2 linked regions of the Rattus norvegicus genome follow. The protein of the gene in region 1 purifies or fractionates together with the protein of each later gene. This does not show direct contact. Links are inferred from orthologs where the notes say so. Each region holds a gene or a part of one and is shown on either strand. Other genes may lie near its edges.

Region 1 (7,494 bases):
CGAGGAGCGCCGCACAGATCCAGTAACGCCATGACGACTTAGCCCCGGAGATCCGTCGACTCTCGGACAAGGAAGTGAAAGCGAAAGCCACAGCACCAAGAGGAGGGAACCAGTCCCCCACCCCCAACCCCTGCCCTTTCCGAGTAGAGCCCAATTAACGGGTGTCTGAACTAAAAATATGTTAGGGACAAGTTTTCCTGATGCCACGTCGATGAAAACCAGCTAGAGAGTGGGCTGTGGGATAAAAGAAGAGGTGCGCCTTCGGAGGCCACCTAGCAGTGGGGTACTTGAGGACTCACAGTCGGGGCGAGGGGCATCTTCTGGGAACAGCTGAGGACTGGATAGGGTCCTGTCACCTTAAAGAGGTTCTCTAGAAAGTTGGAACCCAAGAGAAGCATTGAGCAGATTCACCTAGGCGTGCGTCCTGGGGATGGGGGCAGCACTTAAATGAGCATCGTTTTATAGAAACTGGAAAATGCGATAAATAGTTGCACGGGGTCTTTAAGTCCTGAGACGACCAGGGGAAAAAAAATGGGGAAGGACGAACCAAGGAGAGGGCACAGTTCGGGTCTTTCTATGTGTCCTTTCTAGGGCCCCTCTCGGTCCAACAGTCTCACTACCCTGAGGCAACCCACGTGGACGCTCCCTTCTCCCTGGGCTGTTCACGTCGCGCAAGTCAGAGCTGAGCGCTCCTTCCTTGAATCCTAAACCCCACCTCTCTTTCCAACCTTTGCGGACCTTATCTGCCCAGCAACTGCTGACGTCACGCCACCGGGCCCTCCCTGTATGGAAGAGATTTACTGGCTAATCCTTTCCGTTTCATTAAGATTACTCCGGCGTGTGCGGCTGAGGAGAAGGTGAGAGGTTCAGAAAAATCAGAGCCAGCGAGGTAATCCAGTCTGGAGTTCTGGAGTCCCCCACCCCCACCCCCACCCCGCTGCGCTGCCGCGCCTCCTCCAGCCTCAGCGAGGAAGAGAGGGGCTCCTAGATGCAGCTGCTGATGCCTTGGAGTGCGGGGACAGAGGGGCTGCCGCCTGGTCCTGCTCAGCACTAGGAGTCGGTGGGTGGGTAGGGAAGAGAAATGAGAGCGCCAGGAAGATGATGGACCCGGCAGTAAAACAGAATTCTGAAGAAGAACGGGACACTGGGCTGTGTGTGGGGAAGGGTGCTGGCTAACTCATCGAGCAGTTTGTGGGAGCTAAGAAACAGGAGAAACCACGGTACAAAACACCAGTTTTATTATAAATATCGAGAACCCGCAGAATACCCATAGGCCAGCCTATGCCTTTGGTTAATTGCAAGCTATTTGCCCCTTCTCTGTACATTTTGGGCGTTTCTTCTCATTCTGTCCCAACGCCACATAAGCCAGGTTTGTGGGTGCATGCCGTGATGCAAACTCCACGGGAGACAGGAGACTCAGCAGCTCAGTGTTAGCCTGGGGTACCTACCCCCATCCCCCGTCTAACAGGGGGCGGGGCGGGAAAACATTGGTGGTAAATTCCGGGCATCTCCTAGAGGTTACATTTTTCTCATGTAACAAACACCATCGCTCCTCAACTATCTCCGTGGATGTGGTAAAATCTTTGCTCCCAGGTTCTCTGCCACACAGAGCAGAGGACAGCAGGGGGAGGGACTCGCGCAGCGTGCAGTCCAGAAGCCGGTCAGTCTGAAGGAGCCGCAAGAGCCTCCACCATGGACCGGTAACACCCTCCTCTCTCCATGAGCTGCAGGTGGGTGCCCTGCTCGCAGACAGAGCCTTCTTTGAGGAAGAGGATGTGGTGGGCCCGCTCTGCCAGGCTGAGCTGCTGGGTGATCAGAAGAACCGTCCGAGAGGCCCACTCGGGGCTCTCATACAGGAGCCGCTGGACCTGCAGAAACACACAGTCCTTACAGTCCGGGGCCTCTACCGTCCAGGAGCCCCCTGTGCTTCCAAGGCTGGGACACATTGTCACTTCCCAAGGATGCCGATATCCCGGGTCTGGAGCGCCTCTCCAAACCTTTGATTATTTTTTAAGGCGTCTTCTCAAGAGGTGGTACAGATAGATGAAGAGCGGGAGCACGAGGGGGAGGGGACTGCATAGTCTCTCATCTCTATCCGTAAGCCGGGAATTTTTTTTTTTTTTTCGGAGCTGGGGACCGAACCCAGGGCCTTGCGCTTGCTACCAAGCGCTCTACCACCGAGCTAAATCTCCAACCCCTAAGCCGGGAAATTCTTAAAGAAAATTATTCTTCTCCCATATATTATATTCCGACTGCTCTTCCCCCTTCCTCCTCTCCTCCCAGTCCCTCCTCCTCACCCCACCACCACGCCTCCATTTTCCTTGGGGTGGGGGGGAGCAAGCCTCCCAAGGACATCAACCAAACACTACACACTAAGTTGCAGTAAGACTAGGGTTGCCTCGTCCAGCCTTAAGATGTGGGAATATTTTTTGCATTCAAGAATATATATTAATTTATGCTTTGAGAATGTCATGCATGACTATAATGAAATATAATCATACCACCTCCTCTTCTCCTCTCAACACCCACCCCACACGTCACATTTCCTATGTCATACACATTTCTAATAACCCACTAATAAACTGAGAAGATTGTTTATAATTTATTTTTGTTTTAGGTTCATTGGCATTTTGCCTGTGTGAGGGTGTCAGAAACCCTGGAACTGGAGTTGCAGACGGTTGTGAGCTGCCATGTGGGTGCTGGGAATTGAACCCAGGTCCTGTGGAAGAACAGCCAGTGCTCTTAACTGCTGAGCCATCTCTCCAGCCTCTAAGCTGGGAAATTTTATATCCAATTTAGAGAAATGTAATGCAGGGGCAGGGGCTCAGCAGTTAAGAGCACTGGCTGCTCTTCCAGAGGTCCAGGGTTTGAGTTTCAACATCCACATGGTGGTTCACAACCATCCATAAGTCTAGTTCCAGGGGATCCATACCTTCTTCTGACTTTCAAAGACACTAGGTACATACATACATACATACATACATACATACATACATACATACATACATACATACAAGCAAGACACTCAAACACATAAAATAAATCTTATTTTTTAAAGAAATGTAACAGTAACAAAGAACACGAGAATTTGGATGACTTGTATCTGGACCCAGGCTCCATTGCTCGATTGCTGTGTGACTTTTGGAAGGTTAATCAACCTCTCTTATCATCTACAGAACAAGCGCAACAAAGGACTCTGATAGGCAAAGTAGTGCAGGGTGGGATAGAACGCCTGAAACACAAAGCAGGCTAAGCCCACACAGACTCTTAGGTCAGGAGCTCCGTTCACTGGTTCCTGGTGTCCTGGGGAAAAGCCAATGGGAACTGAGAATTCCCAGGACAGGTTTGAATAGTTATGTTGTTGGTGTAACTAACACAGGATGAATAACAGAAGCAAAGCTCCCATGCGAATGAGACTTCAGGAAGATGACACAGCAGGGTGACCACACCCTCCAGAGGCAGCAGGGGAAAGATTACCAAGAATCCGAGGACAGCATGGTCTCCAAAGTGAGGTCCAGGCCAGCCGAGACCACACAGCAAGATGGCTAAAAAAGACAGAAGATAAGAACCAGGGCCTCACCCGTAGCTGGTTGCCAGCATCCAGGGCACTGGTGGCATCGTCCAAGATAAGCAGGCGTGGCTTCCGGATCAAGGCTCGAGCCAAGGCCACCGCCTGTCGCTGACCTCCTGACAGCTGGTTCCCAGTTTCACCTACCTCTGCAGAGACAAGAGTCCAGCTGAGAAGTCGACAGGTGTGTACACACATGCACAGACACACTTCTGTACACAGACACACAGACATACTCACATACACAGACACACTCACATACACAGACACACAGACACACTTCTGTACACAGACACACTCATATACACAGACACTCACATACACACATACATACACACTCACATACACACATACATACACACTCACATACACACATACATACACACTCACATACACCCAGACACACTCACATACACAGACACACTCACATACACACATGCATACACACTCACATACACAGACACACATACATACACAGACACACACAGACACACTCACATACACAGACACACACACACATACACAGACACACAGACACACTCACATACATACACACATTCACACTCACATACATACATATACATACATACACACTCACATGCACACACACACATACATACACAAACACACAGACACACTCACATACATACACACATATACACTCACATACACACACATATATATACACACATACACACACATAAATTCCCTAAGGGTATGAGACACACTCACATACACAGATACACAGACATAAACACACACATACACATTCACACACACATATCCACATATATACACAGACACATATACACACACACATACACACTCATATACACACATATATCACATACATTCCCTCAGGGTATGATATACACTCATGTACACAGACACACATACACACTCACTCACACACAGACATACACACACATATACACACTGACACACACAGACACACACACATATACACACACAGAGACATACACACACAGTCACACACATACACACACAGACACATACACACTCATACACACACACACACACACACACACACACACACGTACACGCAGCTGACGGGGCAGCTGGAAAGGGAGGCCCTCTGCAAGGGAATGGAGTCCTGTGAATCTTAGAAACAAGAGTTTCAACTACAAATCGGTATCCAAGGGTCAGGAGGGATTGAATAATAAAGGCAGGGGTGGTTGCAGTCCGGATGTGAGAAGGCAGATACCTGTGTCATAGCCCTGAGGGAATCCAGAGATGAAATCGTGGGCTCCGGACTCCATGGCCACAGCTGTGATTTCCTCCATGGTTGGAGTCCGCGTCAGGCCATAGGCAATATTTTCCCGAAAACTTCTTCCAAATAGCAGTGGCTCTTGTCCCACTGCGGCCACCTGAGGTGAAATGTGAAGAGGAACAGGCAAGAAACACAGAAGTGTCGTTGGCTGGGAACTGAAGAGTCACAACCGGGTGCACACCATACGGTCACGTGTCCTTCTACACACAGCCCCGACTCTGCTGGCCCCGACTCTGCTGGCCCTGACTCTGCTGGCCCTGACTCGCTGACCCTGACTCTCTGAAAGGGTTTTCTCAGACAATTTTCTCTTGGCTTGCTCTCCTCCCCTCCCCCACACCTTCTTGCTCACCTGCGTGTGCAGGTAGTGGTGATCATACTGGACCAGGAGCTCGCCATCCAGGAGCACCTTGCCCCCGGTGGGCTGGTACAGGTTCTGCAGCAGGGCGGCCACGGTGCTCTTCCCTGACCCATTGGGTCCCACCAAGGCAGTCACCTTCCCGGGATACAGCGTAAAAGTCAGCCCCTGGAGGCCAGAGAAGCACACGGTAGAAACATTTGGAGGCCTTTGTCACTCAGTGTGCAACACAGCATCTTACCCACGAGGACCAAAGAACGCACAGCAATCCCTACCCCTCTATGCACGGACTTCTGAAACGACATCGGGGAGGGAGAAGAGAGAGGGGCTGGGGCATAGGAATGGGCAAGAAGCATCCCTGGGCGTAGCAGCGGAGGGTGGAGGGAGAGCATTCCCTCCCAGAAGCGCAAATCTAGTCTCCTGCACAATTGGCAGGTGGAACACGTGTTGCTAACTCCTTCGTTAAAAGAGCTTTATCTTTTAAAAAAAATTAGATTTATTCATTTTTACGTGTACGAGTGTTTGGCCAGCATGTAGACACGCATGCCACGTTCATGCCTTGTACCCCTAGAAGTCAAAAGAGGGCGTAGGGTCCCCTGGAACAGGAGTAGGTGGTTGTGAGTGCCTGGGAACCAGGGTCCTCTGCAAAAGCACTGCATGCTCTTGGCTACTAAGCCATCCTGAGCCCCAGAAGCCTTCTCCTCGAGGCCTCTTCCCCCCCTCGCCCCATAGTGTTATTAGAAGACCAAGCTAGTTCTTTGGGTGGGGTGATTTATAGACACATGGTTCTCATTGTCACCTTTGAGGTTAGGGAGGGCCTGGGTCACTGGCAAGAAGCCGGAAGAGGTGAAAGGGATGGGTGGACAGTACCTGAAGCACCTGGACGTTGGGATGGTTTGGGTAGGCAAAGGAGACATCTTGGAACTTGACGAGGCCTTTCATGTTTAAAGGTGCCAGTGAGCCACTGAGCGGAGAGCAGGGAGTCCGGTCCAGGTATTCGAATATTTTCTCCGAGGCGCCCACGGACTTCTGCATGGAGGGATAGATGGAGAGCAGGACCTGCATCGCAGAGTGGAGTGTGGGTGAGCCTGGCATGGACCATGAAAGCAGGTGTGCCGTCTAACCAGCTCGACAGCATTCAGTGAACAGGCAGTGGGTGAGCAAAGCCCAAGAAGCTGCAACACAAGGGCAGGCAGGGACCGCCCAGGCATTTCGGGGGCGGGGCTCACCTCCACGGCCCTGGTGAACTGAAGCTGGTAGAGAACAAAGGAGACGAGGTTGCCGCTGCTGACAGCCCCTCTGACCACCAGCTGCCCACCGAGGTACAGAATTCCCACCTTCAGCAGCATTCCCGAGACCTACAAGGAAACCATGGGATAAAACAGACTGCAAGGGTCAGATGTGAGGTCCCTTCTCCCGGACACGTGGGATAAGGGGGAAGGCAGGGTCAAGGGTCAGACTCAAACACAGCTCATGTCCTCTTTGTCCTCCTCACCAATCGCCACGGTCTCCTTGTTTGGGGGACATTTGACTCTTTTTTTTAAAAAGACTTATTGTTATAATTCTAAGTTATATGTCTGTGCGCGCGTCCATGCACAGGAGTGTAGGTACCCAGAGAGGCCAGAAGAGGGCGTCAGAACCCCTGGAGCTACAGCTGCAGGCAGTTCGTTGCGAGCTGCCCTACTTAAGTGCTGGTCACCTGGAAGAGTAGCGTGCGTGCGTGCGTGCGTGCTTACCGGCTGAAACATCTTCCGCCCTGGAAGTGTTACAAAGGTAAACGCCGCAGCTCACGTCAAGAGTCTCTGTAAAGGAGGTTGTATTATACCTTCCTTATTGCTACTTATCGGTATTATTACTTTCTCCCTACATTCCTTTACTTATTTCGTATGTGAATAGGCACTGTGGCGCGCCTTGTGGAAGTCAGGGGACAACTTTCTCAGGAGTCCGTTCTCTCCTTCCCTGTCCTCCCATCCTGTGGGTTCCAGAGATGGATCTCGGGTCACCCGGCTCGGCAGCACGGCAACACAGCAGCACAGCAGCACGGCAGCAGGCACCCTTACCTCCTGAGCCATCTCACTCCCCCACACCTTTTACTGAGACAAGTCTCACATCATGATGGCTGGAAACTCACAGCAACCCTCCTGCCTCGGCATGCGTCCTGGGATTAGCGATGTGAACCATCACTTCGGTGTTTATTCCCCTTTTTCAAAACAGGGCAACGGCCTCAGAAAAAGGTAGCGTGTTGGATACAGAATTGGTGGGTGGCAGAATGGAGCCCGG
Region 2 (8,011 bases), about 310 kb from region 1:
TCTTGACTCTCCTGTCCGTGTCTCCAGTGCCAGGATTACAGGCCTGAGCATCCAGTGCTGACTGTCACACACAGCAGGCAATGGGCCTACCACTGAGCTACGCCTCAGCTCCCTCCCCCAATCTCCAAAGGAGAAACGGAAGCCGCACTTAGTGGCTCACACAGATAACCCCGGCACATGGGAGACCATGGAGGGAGGACTGCACATACTGATAACCCCAGCACATGGGAAACTGGCAGGAGGACTGCACACTGGTAACCCCGGCACATGGGAGACCGTGGTGGGAGGACTACCATGAGTTCCAGACAAGCTTGCCTAAGACCCAGTCTCAAAAACAAACAAAAATGAGTAACGGCCAGTCAAAGTAAGAATAGGACCTACCTGGTGGGAATTCTGGGATTTCAGTCTCTTAAACAACACCACCACCACCAAGATCCCACAGCATGAGGCATGATAAGCTTTCATTTTAATCCCAGGTCTGGGATAGGGCTGCTTCAGACTGTCCATGGCAGCTGACTGATTTGCCTCGTGCTCTAGCAAAGGCGTCTGATTGTGTGATACTTGGAATTCTGGGAGCTTTTCAGAGGGTACATAAATGCTAGGACACCCCCCACAAGAGGAGGGGCAGATTGGCCATTCGGGGGGGGGGTTGCCTGCAGTTTGTTAGTCGTGCTCAAAGAAGCAACAAAAAGAAATTAGACTCAGGGATCTCTCTCTTCTATCTCTCCTTCTCTCCTATGTAGTCATAGGGAGTAACCCCAGCAGAGAAAGGGCGGGAAAAGAACAACCCACACAGTAACAAAGACCAGCTACACCAATCTGCTGAGCTACTGAGGTGGTGATGGTCATGCCATTTGCCATTTAATACCTCTGGCTAACCAAATCTGTCTCATTCCTGACTTTCGATAATAAAACCCCCTATAGGAGGCCAGTCAGTACACGGAGCACAAGAAGTTTACAAACCTCCAGCTCCGAAAAAAAGAAAAAGAAAAAAAAAAAAAAAAAGAAGTTTACAAATGAGAGCCCTCTCCAGCCACAGTTAAAGTTTTCCATACTGTCTTTTACATTTTCACTTATGTGTGTGTGTGTTCCTGCATGGTGTGCATGTGGCGGTCAGAGGACTTCCGGGAGTCAGTTCTCTCTGTGTGGACCCTGCATGAAGCTCATTTCCTCACCCTGTTGGTGAGGGCCTTTACTCAGTCACCTCAGAGGACAACATCTCTCCCTTTCCTCCCTCTTTCCCCTCTTCAATTCCTGACCTCTTTTTTACTGTCATTTGTATATGCATGTAGATTCCTAGTACAGCCTGCCTGTAACATTTCTAGAAGAGTGGTTGGAACGAAGTGCTGTGTGCACTCAATACTGAGAAAGAGAGACTCGACCCTGGCTGGGCAGCTCCACGGCCAGTTGTGTGTCCAGCACGAGCAAGGCCTGGCCCTGAACCCAAACCAGGGTGATTTCCTACCCTAGTGTTCTGTGAAAACAATCATTCAGGAGAGGCGGCCTAGGCCTGCTGCAGCAGCTTCTGGAAGGTGACAGAGAGCTTCCCTGATGCTGGTTCAGTCCCCTGGGGATGAGGGGAGGGGCCTGATAGCAACGAATAAAGCCATGTCACGGTTCTTTTTATATAAGATTTGTACGTGCACTGGTGTCCGCCTGTATGTATGTCTGTGTGAGCGTGCCAACTGCTCTATAGCACACAGAGTTACAGCCGTGACCTGCCCTGCGAAAGGTCAGCCAGTCCTCTTAACTGATGACCCATCTACCCAACCCCGTTTTCATGGGTTTCTAGTCAAGCAGGTATGACCTGATGTGATGAGGAAGAGGGGATACAGTGACTTGATTTCACCCCAGAGTCCATGAGAAATGATCGGTCAGTCCTGGCCCAGAGCACTCTAGGAGCCCAGACAAGGGCCTAGAGGGTGACTTTAAACCAATCCTGCACTTCCGGGGATCCAAGTTGGGTTCCCAGCACCCAGGCCACATGGCTCACAGCCACCTGTAGCCCAGCTCTGGAGGGTCCAACGGCTGCTCCTAGATTCCCTAGGCAGCTGCACTCACATGCACAGACCCATACCTAGACACACACACAAGTAAAACCAACTTGGAAATAACTGACAGTCACTGAGCCACACACTCCTGCCCTGCAGAAGTCACATGGGACTGGACTGTCTACAACAGATGTGAGAAACACGCTGAGCCTCTCACCGATCACCCGTCACTGAGCACACAGGGCCACCCTGCACGCTGCGATTCACACACCCAAGCTTTCAGTATGTTCTTTGCTAATTATCTGGAGCTTGATCTGGGAACCTCGGGGTCCTAACTGTCTCTTGGTGCTAATAACATTTATTGGATCAGTGAGCAGCACAGCGCCTTGCTTCACTGCTACAAAGAAAAGTAACTGGGAAGAACCTACTTTCTACAGTTGGGAAGAAACAGACCCATAGGACAAAGGCTGTGGTCGCCACCGCCATCCCCCATTAAGACCAACGATGTGAGGGCCGGTTCTCTTGAGAGAACTACTGTCCCCACAACGGGCCTGAATAGGGTGGAGCTGAGAGAGGAGGTGCTGGCAGAGCTGAGGGTTTCAGACTGCCCCCCTTAGGAGTTTCAAATGATGAAGACAAAGGACTCAGGGAGTTCGGTGAGAGTATTTGCATAAAAACACCAGAAATGGAAAAGGCAGATGGTTCTGTCTTCCTGTTAGGTGGTGCCCGAGGAGAAGAGCAGACGCTCAGAGGCGTTCAAGACAGATCTACCCCATTTCTGCACATCTGCCCATGGAGTGCCCTCTTCCCCTGTCCAGCACAGCAAAGTGGTGGACCTCTGGGAACTCTGCTGCACCGCACTCTATTTAGTGAGTGAGACAGTGGCCTTTGCAGGAGAATCCACCGCTTCGGCCGTGTCCCTTCTGCCCACTAGAGGCCACCGTTGAGGCACTCAAGACCATGGCCGAGAGACTCAGGAAGAGGTTCCTTGCTGGACAGGCTGTCCTTAGGCTAGAGTGAGCTTTGAAGAGACTCAAAGTGTGATTTTTGAAACCTGGGACGAGTGCAGAAAAGAACTCGGGTGTCGGGACTCCTAACCTTATGAGTTTCTCAAACTCTGGTTTCTGGAAACCGACACCCTGACCGCCTCCCCAGTCCCTCTGCAAAGCCCCGCCCCCAAACCACAGCAGGTTTCAATTTTACTCTCCCCCTACAATGAAAGGTGAAGATTGTCTAACCCTTAACAGAAAAAATATACTGATCCTCCAACTCTTGGCGAGTCGCCGAACTGGCCAATCTAGACCCTTAAAAGCTACCCATCCATCTCCCGCTTCTCTTCAGGGCTACCTGTTGCCATGGTGATGAAGACAGGCTCCCGCTGAGGCTCCGGCAGTGGTCGCAGCAGGCTGGAGAGGCTGAAGACCGTGCCGGATACGCTGACCATCAGCCAATCCCCGTCCAGGGCCCGCGAGCAGTTCTGCTGCGGACTCAGACCCCTAGCCCACTTCGCCGAGGCGGGGAACGGGATGTAGCTGCTCATCTCGCAGTGTGGGGCGTGGGCGCCTGCGGGGTACCGCCTGAAGGCAGCCAGGAGCATTCCCGCCGGGTCTGCGGAACCGAGAAGGATGTAGCGGTAGGCCCGGCTGGAAACGTGCTGACTGTACACAGGCCGGAAGGCACAAACTAGCAAAGTAGTGAGCGACTTAGAGAGTATCCAAACTTATTTACAAAGGGGAAAACTGAGGCCCGGGGACCCTACGTGAGCTAAGAGGAGGCGACAGACGCAGCTGAGTCCCGAAGACTCACCATCCACCTTGAAGTATAGCTTAGGGTCAAGATCTGGCCGGGGCGGCGGTCCCCTGGGTCCATGGCGCAGTAGCAATGTGGCAGGTTTCTTGGACAGGCCACCCCCACCTGCATCCTCCACGAACCAGCACTCAATCGTCTGTGGTCCAGCCGAGACCACCACGGTCGCCAGGCCTGGGGAAGAGGGGCTCCGGTGACCAGGCTGCCACAAGGTGTCCGGGACCGGCCCGCCCTTCAGACCCGCGATGGGATCACCTCCCTCTCCTTCCCAATGTGTCCTTTCCTAAACGAGAAGGAATGGGGTCCGCTCACCCAGTGCCACAACGACGAGCAGGGGAAGAAGCTTCATGGTGCTGCGATCTCCCCTACCAAGTCTGTTTCCTTTCACTTTCATTTTCCCTCAAAGGCGGGGGGTGAGGAACTGGAAATTCCCTGCGCTGGTCAGGTGAGGGCGTGACTGCGCGCTGGAGGAACGCAGCCCGCAAGGGCCAAACAGAGATCCCGAAACCCTGTCTCGGGCTCTCCGGCCCCTCCTCGCCCTGCACCCACACGCGTGGATCACCCGACAGCGCGCCAACTTTGAGCCTTTAGCAGCTTAGGCTCCGCCCTCGGGCTGCGCCCTCTTAGCGCCACCTCCCTTAGAACCATACTCCTGCGTCCCCCGACCTGTGTCAGCTCCCAGCAAACAGAGGGGTGTTGGGAAACCAAGTGAAGTGACCAATAAATATTTTAATCACCGTTAAAAATTAAGACCTATACTACGCGGCTCACCCCTTGTCTCCGCCCACTTTCATGACAACCCAATTTGGGATCCTCATGGCAAGGGTGGGATAGTACAGGAATAAGGGGCGCATCCTTCAAGAGGAGTCTCAAAGGCCTCGTCCCACAACACAAACACAGACTTCAGGCACAAATTAGCACAACCTGACTGTTGGCCCTGCGACTCCAGGATGCTCAAAATGTCCCTTTTCCATCCCCCCACCGTCTTGGCACTACTCCGTGAAGGTGGGGCTCTGGTGTGCTCAAGGGAGAAGAAAAACTGCTTAGTTCCGGAGATATCGAGGAAGGGGCTAAGGAATGGAACGGGCTATCGATGGTGCAGCCTATGCCCTTCTCTAGAATATATACAAGTCCACAGAGATAAGGGAAGACGGTTTGGTGGGGAAAACCCCGGGAGCCACGTTGCCCTTAGACTAAGCTCCCCGATAGCCTGTCCTTCAGTGTGCTGCTCCTCCACCCCCACTGAAATCCATCTCGACTTTGTGCACGCTGGGTGGTGACCAGACACGCCTATTAGACGGGGGTGTGGCCGAATTCGCCTCATCGCCACTGCCCCCACCCACTGCGGAGGACTCCCTCTTGGGTTGCAGTGCTGGCCCTGTGGGTGCCCCCGGTCCAGGTCCAGGTACCGATGCGGCCCCGCCCGCGCCCATCCGGTGCCGGCGCTCACAGTGACCCCGGTGACGCATGAAACTGTCCCGCCACATGAACTTCTTGGCGCAGACACTGCATTCGTAGGGCTTGAGGCCTGTGTGCGTCTTCATGTGCTCGGTCAGGTGGTGTTTCATCTTGAACTTCTTGTTGCACACGGGGCAGTCAAAGGGTCGCAGGTTGAGATGCATATTCACGTGCCGGTCCCGCATACTCTTATGTGAGAAAGCCTTCCCACAGTGGCAAAGAAAGATCTTATTCCCGTCGCTGTTGCCTGCCCCTCCGGGGGTCCCCCCAGAGCCACTTGGTATGCCCAGACCCACCGCAGAGGCACCCCCTAGGGTCACTGCCCCGTGTTCTGCTGTGTTCCCTGGTGGCTGGCCTGGAGCCTGCGAGGAGGAGGATGGGAAAACCAAGATCTGGTTGCCTGGCACATCCAATGGAAGAAGGGGTCGTGGAGGGTGGGTGAGGCCATAGGAGGAAGGGGTGGGGCCTCCAGGGTCATCAAGTCCTGCCCCAGCGCCACCACCCTCATAGGGGCCAAAGTCATTGGAGGATTCACAGAAGTTCACCTGTTCCTCCCCCTTTTCTGCAGGCTCCGTCAAGGTCCGAACGTCACTGATACTGAGGGTAGCCTCGGGCTCTCCCCCTGCAGGAACCCCAGAGCCATTCCCCAGGTCTTCATCCTCGTCATCCTCACAAGTCAACACCAGATCTTCCTCCTCTTCCTCATCCTCTAGATCGGGGTCTTGGTGGACCAGCGATGCTGGTGCAGGGCAATTTCTAGCTCGCTTCACATACACCCAGTGTTTCTGTGGCACTGCACTGGCAGGCAGGCAGTTGGGCCTCCGGAGCCCAGCCCCAGGGGCCGCCGCCCCTCTCCCATCCCCACCGTCATCACATAGCTCATCGGCCTCTAGCAGCAACTTCCCAGAGGTGGTACCCGCACTGCCAACCACAGGGACTGGGAACACGGGGCCACCATCTCGACGGTTCCCACTACCCACTGCTGAGGCCACAAATGCATCTTGGGAGGAAGAGGAGAAATCAGTCGACTCCCGGGGGCTGAAGTAGTTGCTACTGCTGGGAGACTGATTCTCACTGGCCCGGCTGGAGGTATGGGAACGTACAGAGCCTACAGTGGCAGGGGCAACGGTGCCCCCGCTCCCTGATGGGACACTGGCACAAGGGACAGAGACAGAGGGGGCTGCAACAGCAGTGACAGTGGTAGTAGCGGCTGAAGATCGACCCTCCCGAAGGAGTTCAGTGCACTTATCCACAATGTGCCACATCTGGAGGACCGACCCCACTGTGAGGAAGTTGACAATGTCCGCAGCAGCCATGCTGAGGCGGCCCGTGTACGCTGAGGCCAGGACAGTCTCAAAAGCGCCTGGGTCCATGACGCTGGGCAGTGAGATGGAAGTCATGCCTTTGAGTAGGACCTGGTCGTGGAAGTAAGGAGAGGAGGCAGCCAAGACGGCCCTGTGAGCACGGAACTCCCGTCCCTGCACGCGGATAGACACATCGCAGAGCTGACCCTGGAGCCGCTGCTGGTTGAGGGACTCCAGGAGGGCACTGGTCACCTCAGGGAAGGACACGTGTACCACTGCAGCTGCCGGCAGAGGCAGTGGTGGTGGAGCCAGTGACAGAGGCAGTGGGAGTGTGGCCCCACTGGGTGACATAGGAGATGGCTCCATGTTGTGGAAGGAGATACCCCCCCAGCCACAGGAACAAAGGAAAGAAGAGGGCGGCCGGGGGGGTCTCTAGGGGGAAAAAAAAGAGAATAATACAGCATTTTGAAAAGACATAGACCATCACAGTATAAAAAAAAAGAAAAATCACTGAGATAAATAGGTACACCTCTCAACCCCATGGGACAGATGGGGCAACTGAGGCCCAGAATTAATCAAGAAAAACATCCAAGTACACCTACCAAACGACATCAAATCAAACCTCAGCGCTAGCAGAGAAAGTATTCCAACTCCAAGTTTAGTACTCTTTCCTAGGTCAGAAAATAGGGGGCTCTCAGGGAATGGGTGTCTATCCTTGTCTACAGCTGCCCCCGAGCCTCACTTAAAAAAAAAAAAAAAAAAAAAACCGCCTCTCCTTGGTGTTACGTACCAATTTTCTTGGGGCGAAGGGGTGTCCTCCACAGTTTTCAAGCTCCTCCCCCGACAGCCCCCAGTTAATTCCCCGACTCCGCCCCTTCAGGACCCTCCAGGGCTCCGCCCCCTAGATCCCCGACCCCGCCTCGTGTTTGCCCCCGCCCCCCGAACCCCGCCCCCCACTCCTCCCCAATCGCGTCCTTGGACTGTCCCCCGGCCTGAGGGGGCCCCCAGCCCCGCGCGCCCCCGCTTACCTGGCCGCGCGCCCCCGGGCCCCCCCTCACTCGGCGACCAGAGCCGCAGCCCCAGCCCCTCCCGCCGCCATCTTGTGCCGACTCCCTCCGCCCTCCGCCTCCACTCCTCCTCCCCGACCAGCGACCTTAAAGGCGCAGGACAGCACCCCTCCTGTGCCGCTGGGGAAAATTCGACCGACACCAACACTTTCCCTTTAAAGGACCGGCTCTTCATTCCTCCTTAAAGGTACCGGGTCCCATCTGCGGCTAAGGACTCAGGAATTGATTTGGCCGAAGCCTTCGCTCCCCTTTAATCCTGCAAGCCTACCTTTTCCCATTGACCAGTACTGGCTTCCGCTCCTCAGGCTCCACCCCGAGCCCTGGACATTAGCTCGCTCGCGGGATCTAACAGCCCTTTTCCCAGCGTATGACAGAACCCCTGAAG

The links. The genes of interacting proteins can lie anywhere in the genome.
Region 2: the proteins of Tap1 (region 1) and Tapbp purify together in Homo sapiens (co-immunoprecipitation; 6 studies listed by BioGRID and IntAct, with this or other methods). This does not show direct contact. The link is inferred for Rattus norvegicus from reciprocal best matches to the Homo sapiens genes TAP1 and TAPBP.

What each region holds. Positions count from the first base shown.
Region 1 is NC_086038.1:4,656,950-4,664,443, forward strand, and holds the end of Tap1 (antigen peptide transporter 1 precursor), read right to left. Parts: intron 6,573-7,494; coding exon 6,444-6,572; intron 6,274-6,443; coding exon 6,085-6,273; intron 5,383-6,084; coding exon 5,209-5,382; intron 4,957-5,208; coding exon 4,794-4,956; intron 3,718-4,793; coding exon 3,581-3,717; intron 1,869-3,580; coding exon 1,662-1,868; 3' UTR 1,222-1,661; downstream 1-1,221. Other genes in the region: Psmb8 (proteasome subunit beta type-8), read right to left, coding at 1-32. UniProt on the Homo sapiens protein: ABC transporter associated with antigen processing. In complex with TAP2 mediates unidirectional translocation of peptide antigens from cytosol to endoplasmic reticulum (ER) for loading onto MHC class I (MHCI) molecules.
Region 2 is NC_086038.1:4,963,709-4,971,719, forward strand, and holds the start of Tapbp (tapasin precursor), read right to left. Parts: upstream 4,147-8,011; coding exon 4,110-4,146; intron 3,972-4,109; coding exon 3,798-3,971; intron 3,600-3,797; coding exon 3,339-3,599; intron 1-3,338. Other genes in the region: Zbtb22 (zinc finger and BTB domain-containing protein 22), read right to left, coding at 5,015-6,925. UniProt on the Homo sapiens protein: Involved in the association of MHC class I with transporter associated with antigen processing (TAP) and in the assembly of MHC class I with peptide (peptide loading).